2 linked regions of the Macaca fascicularis genome follow. The protein of the gene in region 1 interacts with the protein of each later gene in a biochemical or structural test. Links are inferred from orthologs where the notes say so. Each region holds a gene or a part of one and is shown on either strand. Other genes may lie near its edges.

Region 1 (3,399 bases):
GCAGCCTTGACCTCCTGGGCTCAAGTTATCTTCCTACCTAGGTCTCCTGAGTAGCTGGGACTACAGGTGCATGCCAACATGGCCTGCTAATTTTTAAAATTTTTTTTGAAGAGACCAGGTTTCCTATGTTGCCCTGGGTTCAAGTGCTTCTCTCACCTCGGCCTCCCAAAGTGCTGGGATTATAGGTATGAGGCACTGCGCCTGGGCTGGACTGCTTTTTCCTATTCAGCCATATGTGGTTACTTACGATTTACATTAACATTAATTAGCTTTTTCCACCGTAGTCCATATTTGAGTATCTGCTCCAATAAGGTGGTAATTTTTCTTGTCCACATCTCAGGATAATTTTATTTTGTTTTTTATTATTTATTTATTTTGAGACAGGGTCTCGCTCTGTTGCCCAGGCTGGAGTTCAGTGGTTCGATCTCAGCTCACTGCAACCTCCACCTCCTAAGCCCAAGTGATCCTCCCACCTCAGCCTCCCAAGTAGCTGGGACCACAAGTGTGCACCACCATGCCTAGCTAATTTTTGTATTTTTTGGTAGAGATGGGTTTTGCCATGTTGCCCAGGCTGGTCTCGAACTCCTGGGCTCAAGCGATCCACCTGCCTCAGCCTCCCAAAGTGCTAGGATTACAGGCGTGAGCTACTGTGCCTGGGCTTCTCAGGATAATTTTAATTTTTTAAAAACTGATTTGGAATCATGTTTAAGGAACCATGTGGCTAGATTTTTTTGTTATACTTGGTAGTAGAGGTTGTGTAACTGAGATAATTGAAATTTGTAGCTAAATTTTTATTTGCTTGTTGTTCCAATCCACAGTTCTGACCAGAGGGGTAATAAGTATTTAAACAGACACAAAGTGAGGAGGGTTAAGACCTCTTCACTTAGATGATCTGGAAACTGGATTGACCAACCTGTGTATAATTGACTTATGCATAATTAATAGAGCTGAATGTAGGTTTGATTGGGTTCACTCACATGCTTGTATTCACAAATAAAAATTTTGGAAGCAGATTAATATTATTTATCATTCAGCTTTTTAACCTAAGCCTACCATGGTTTACATCTAAATTCTAGCTACAGACATCTGTTTCTGTATATTAGGTATTAATCCATTTACTTAAATTTCTTCTTGAAAATATTGAAAGGGTCCTTTTCACCTTGAAACCAAGGTGAGGAGGAAATCAAGTCAATTAAATCCGTATAATGACATAAACTTACGTCTGGACAGATTCTTTCACTCTTCCTCTCCTTTTAAATCTCATATTATTTCTCTCCAGGAAAGACACAGATGAAGCTGACCTGGTTCTTGCAAAAGAAGCTAACGTGAAATGTCCACAAATTGTGATAGCATTTTATGAAGAGAGACTGACATGGCATGCATATCCTGAGGATGCGGAAAACAAAGAGAAAGAAACAGCAAAGAGCTAAAGGAGGGGATGGTCTCTGTCATTTCTCTTTGTACATAATACATTCACCTCCCTGCCTCCTCTCCCTTCTACCCACCCCTTTCTATCCTAAACACATCCATAAAAAATGTGCTTATCACTGTGCTCCACAGGAGAAATGTTGGTATTGGTTCTCTTGTAACATAACTGATGGTCTGATTAATGATGAGTGTCTCTCTGTGAAGACCAGGCATTTACATACTGAGTGTAATACCCACAATTTTTTTTTCCTTTGCCCTGATCTCTTCCTTCTGCTCCCCTGTGACCTCAAGATGAGTTTTAACTTTTTAATCACCTTAGAGTCTTGATTTTTAGATTGGGGGATTTTGTCACAATGATGTTGAATTTTGGTTTCTTGCTTTGGTTCTTAGAACATGTTGCTGACTAGCTGGCCTTTGTTCTGACATGTTGAGATGGAAAGGATGTTGCCCGTCTGTTAAAAAGCCAATAGCAACTGCCTACCTGTTGGGGCTTTCCCAACCTTGTTCAGCTCTACCCAGGAGAATACAGGGTTTCTGGTGTGGTCTTCTGGGCCACCCTCTGTTGTTCATCCTCACTTATCCTCCCAGAATTACTCCATCCTTTGGAAGATTTGAAATTTTACACTGAAATTTGTCAAGACACTCTTTTTAGCCCCAGGACTTTTGGTCTTGCTTTTAGCACTCTCCACTTCTGCTTCTGTAAAGTGATATCAATTTGTGATAAAATGACAAGATTATTAACTGTGGAGATTTTTAGCTATAGTACATGAGGATGATGGGGTAGGGTACAATTGTCTTTATTATCACATATGGTATGTATGTATGATTTCTTTCCATTCCTCATATTTAGACTGTATATTTATGTAGGTGTGAGTGTTTGCCTGGTGCTTGCTTGTGCCAAGGTGCTAGGCACCCTCCAAGCCTGCCAACTTTTGTGGCCTCCCAAAGCATTCCTGTTACCAAAGAGGCTTCAAACCTGACCCTCACTTCTCAGTGGACCCGAGTTTCCCTTCCATGCCATTATTTTCAGTGGGGAAGTTTTAGAGGTGAGCTGTTGGCCACAATATCAATTTTAAGTATTCATAGCAGTTAAAAGTCTCTTGCATTCTTGGCTCCTGGATTTACCACCAAGAGTCCCCAAAATATTAATGCTCTTCCCTTTTTCTACCCTCAAACTTATAGTTGTATCTTATTTTTTAAAATGAATTTTCATGGCCCGGCACAGTGGCTACCACCTGTAATCCCAGCACTTTGGGAGGCTGAGGCAGGAGAATTGCTTGAAGCCAGAAGTTTGAGACCAGCCTGGGTAATGTAGTGAGACCCCTGTCTCTAAAAAATATAAATAAATAAAAATAAAGGCATGTTCCTAAAAGACTATCACCTTGGAAAGTGACAGGCCCTGGCATTATTAGCATGTTGACACAACCTTTTCTCCTTACTCAGCAAAATATTTCCTTTTGGTTTCTTCTTGTGTTGCTATTATATTGAGAAATTTGTCTGATCATATCCTTCTGCCTTTGTCCCCCAAGAAATGTCCTACTTTATCCTTTTCTTTTTGTGGTTGAGGAGGGCTAGAGAATCACAATTAGAAGTAAGGAAATAGCAGGGTTTTGAGGACCCTTGCCCCAGCCCCAAAGCTGAGGAAATAAGAATAAATGCTTAATATAGCCTTAATTCTAGAGTGCACCAGCCATGAGGCTGCTTTTCTTGTTGCTTTTGATTTTTAAAACATACAGCTGTCTGGCCAGGAGCATCCACCATTTCTAGATTATTCAGAGTAATGAGGGGAATGGATGGATTGCTCCAGTCCACAGATGAGCCACATAATATGCAAATCATATACCCATTCATAGCATTTGTTAACATTGCTTCCCTGCTCAGCTGCTGATTGAATTCTGTGTGCTTATATAAATTATGTCAAAAATTATACTGCATAATTGAGGTGACAGCTGTTGCTGCAGTGACATGACA
Region 2 (3,820 bases), on another chromosome or scaffold:
CCCTTAGATAACTTTTTAGGAAACAGAGTCGAAACCAGTGTTGGCCAGAGCACAGTCATCATTGATTTGACAGAGGACTCAAATGAGCAGCCAGACAGTCTTGTGGACCACAATAAACTGAGTTCTGAAGCTTCTCCCTCCAGGGAAGCAGTAAATGGCAACCGAGAAGACACTAGGGATCAGCAGGGGTCGTTGAAGGCCAATCAGAACGACAAGTTGGCATTTCCTGGAGAGACCCTTTCAAACATTCCTTACAAAACAGAGGAGGAGGGTGTTGGCTGTGGAGGTGCAGGGAGGAGAGGTGACTCCCAGGAATGTTCACCACAGAGCTGCCCGGAGCTGACGAGTGGTCTGAGACTGTGCTCCAGAAAGGAGCAGGACAGTTGGAGTGAAGCTGGGGGCATCCTGTTCAGAGGGAAGGTGCCCATGGTGGTCTTGCAGGACATCTTGGCTGTGAGACCGCCCCAAACCAAGTCCCCTCCAGCCACACCCCAAGGCAAGGACATGACCCCTGAGAGCGGGGCGCTGGAATCTTGCCCTGAAGAAGACTCTGTACTCAGCCATTCGTCCCTGAGCTCTCCCTCTTCCACCAGCTCTCCCGAGGGGCCGCCTGCTCCCACAAAGCGACACAGCAGCACCAGTCCCTTCCCCACCTCCACGCCCGTGCGCAGAGTGAGTATCTCCCATGGAGTCCCTACACATCAGTGCTCATGGATCTCAGAGCACGCTGTCAGTCTCCACCGGGTCACCCAGCTGGTCTGTGGCAGAGTGAGCGGGGCCACAGGCTGGGTCCTGGGACTCGACACGGAGTTCTTGTATCAAAACTCAGTGTTCGGTTCTGCATTCGTTGTGATGCGCCTGGGACTTAATTCATCAACAGTGTACCTGGTGTACTGTGTGGATAACACCCTGCTGTTTTGCCTTCGTTGTTTACATCTAATTAGTGATAGCTTAGCCATTTTAGGGAATTAGGATCTGAGCTGGTGCTGTAACCCCTCACTTGAGATTCCAGGTCCAGCTCTCTCTGTGCCCCTCCCATCCAAGCATAGAACTGTAGGGATGGGGCTATGGAGGCATTGAGCACTGAAGTGGCAGTGAGACGGCAGGAAGCATGACATGGGGAATTCTGTAGAGTCAGCACAGCCACCCATCTAAAAAACCTCACCTGGGGCCAGGCGCAGTGGCTCATGCCTGTCATCCCAGCACTTTGGGAGGCCGAGGTGGGAGGATCGCTTGAAGATCAAAACCAACCTGGACAACAAAGACACCATCTCTACAAAAAAAAAAAATTATTTTTATTTTTTTGACAGAGCCACTCTATCACCCAGCCTCTGGAGTTCAGTGGCGTGATCTCTGCTCACTGCAACCTCCGCCTCCCAGGTTCAAGCGATTCTCCTGCCTCAGCCTCCCTAATAGCTGGGATTATAGGTGTGCGCTACCACACCTGGCTAATTTTTATATTTTTAGTGGAGACAGGGTTTCACTATCTTTGCCAGGCTAGTCTTGAATTCCTGACCTCAAGTGATCTGTCCATCTTGGCCTCCCAAAGTGCTGGAATTACAGGCATGAGCCACTGCACCCAGCCCTGCAAAAAAAATTTTTTTAATTATCCGGGCATGGTGGCACATGCCTGTAGTCCCAGCCACCTGGGAAGCCGAGGCAGGAGGATCACTTGAGCTGAGGAGTTGGAGGCTGCAGCGAGCTGTGATCACACCACTGTGCTCCAGCCTGGATGACAGTGAGACCCCATCTGGAACCATTTTTAAGGACCCCATAAGAGGGACTTTTGCATGGACTGTTTCTGTTACTGTTTTTTTATTAGCACGATGGTGTCCTTAGGATCTTATGGACCAAACTGATAAAATCAGTCACAAGTTCCATGCTGTGTTTAATGGTGTCTTTTTTTGGTTTATATATTTTTACTTTTTATCTTAAGTATGTAGAACCAGAAGAGACAGTGCCTTTTTTTTGTTTTTGGTTTTGTAGCACTTTTGTTTGTTCATGCTGGTTCTTTATATGAGAGTAGATCCTGAGATGGGTCATTTAATCTCTACCTGTAAGCAGGTACAGTAGACCACCTGGACTATAAACCACCAACCTTGTTCGCTTTTGGGATTTTGAGCTCTAAGGAACCATTTCTTTTTCTTTCTTTCTTTTTTTTTTTTTTTTTGAGACGGAGTCTCGCTCTGTTGCCCAGACTGGAGTGCAGTGGCCGGATCTCAGCTCACTGCAAGCTCCGCCTCCCGGGTTTACGCTATTCTCCTGCCTCAGCCTCCCGAGTAGCTGGGACTACAGGCGCCAGCCACCTCGCCCGGCTAGTTTTTTGTATTTTTTAGTAGAGACGGGGTTTCACCGTGTTAGCCAGGATGGTCTCGATCTCCTGACCTCGTGATCCACCTGTCTCGGCCTCCCAAAGTGCTGGGATTACAGGCTTGAGCCACCGCGCCCGGCCTCTTTTTTTTTTTTTTTTTTTTTTTTTGAGACAGTCTTGCTTTGTCACCCAGGCTGGAGTGCAGTGGCGCCATCTAAGCTCACTGCAACCTCCGCCTCCTGGATTCAAGCAATTCTGCCTCAGCCTCTCAAGTAGCTGGGATTAGAGGCACCCGCCACCAGGCTCAGCTAATTTTTGTATTTTTAGTAGAGATGGAGTTTTGCCATGATGGCCAGGCTGGTCTTGAACTCCTGACCTCAGGTGAGGGGAGGCCTTGGCCTCCCAAAATGCTGGGATCACAGGCTTGGCCGGGACCATTTATTTTTCCGAATGACATCATTTCTTTTTTTTTTTTTTTTTTTTTTTTTTTTTTTTTTTTTGAGACGGAGTCACGCTCTGTCGCCCAGGCTGGAGTGCAGTGGCGCGATCTCGGCTCACTGCAAGCTCCGCCTCCTGGGTTTACGCCATTCTTCTGCCTCAGCCTCCTGAGTAGCTGGGACTACAGGCGCCCACCACCGTGCCCGGCTAATTTTTTGTATTTTTAGTAGAGACGGGGTTTCACCGTGGTCTCGATCTCCTGACCTTGTGATCCGCCCGCCTCGGCCTCCCAAAGTGCTGGGATTACAGGCGTGAGCCACCGCGCCCGGCCGACATCATTTCTTGTCTTTCACTTCAGAGGAGGCAAAAGGAAAAAATGACTTCCTCTTTAGGTTCATGAAATGTTGATTAAAAAATGGAGCAAATTTTTTTTTTTTTTTTAGACATGGTCTCACCCTGTCGCCCAGGCTGGAGTGCAGTGGCATGATGTCAGCTTACTGCAACCTCCACCTTCTGGGTTCGAGAGATTTTCCTGCCTTAGCCTCTGAGTAGCTGGGATTACAGGTGCCCACCACCATGGCTGGCTAATTTTTGTATTTTTTTGGGTAGAGAACAGGTTTCACCACGTTGGCCAGGCTGGGCTCAAACTTCTGACCTCAAGTGATCCGCTCGCCTTGGCCTCCCAAAGTACTGGGATTACAGGCATAAGCCACTGCCCCGGTCTTCTTTTTTTGTGTGTGCTGGTTTGTTATATAGGTAAACTCTTGTCATGGAGGTTTGTTGTACAGATTATTTCATCACTCAGGTACTAAGCCTAGTACCCTTTTCTAAGATGCTAAATGTGCCAGACTGGGATGTACACATTTCAACTTCTACCTAAGGCACCACACAGTCTCCCAAAATCAGAGTTGAAGTCTTTCCCCATTGGCCATCCTGTAGTGTACATTCGATCACTTTAATTTCTTCCAGGCTGCTGCCGCTTTGCAGAATTTCGTCCTGTGGTGTGTTGCAGCCGTTTAGCAAGAACAGGACACATGGCCGGGCACGGTGGCTCACACCTGTAATCCCAGC

What was found.
Region 2: the proteins of CBX5 (region 1) and CHAF1A form a complex in vitro, tested with the Homo sapiens proteins (2 studies listed by BioGRID). The link is inferred for Macaca fascicularis from reciprocal best matches to the Homo sapiens genes CBX5 and CHAF1A.

What each region holds. Positions count from the first base shown.
Region 1 is NC_088385.1:61,082,186-61,085,584, reverse strand, and holds the end of CBX5 (chromobox protein homolog 5), read left to right. Parts: intron 1-1,279; coding exon 1,280-1,430; 3' UTR 1,431-2,817; downstream 2,818-3,399. UniProt on the Homo sapiens protein: Component of heterochromatin that recognizes and binds histone H3 tails methylated at 'Lys-9' (H3K9me), leading to epigenetic repression. In contrast, it is excluded from chromatin when 'Tyr-41' of histone H3 is phosphorylated (H3Y41ph).
Region 2 is NC_088393.1:5,149,445-5,153,264, forward strand, and holds part of CHAF1A (chromatin assembly factor 1 subunit A), read left to right. Parts: coding exon 1-672; intron 673-3,820. UniProt on the Homo sapiens protein: Acts as a component of the histone chaperone complex chromatin assembly factor 1 (CAF-1), which assembles histone octamers onto DNA during replication and repair.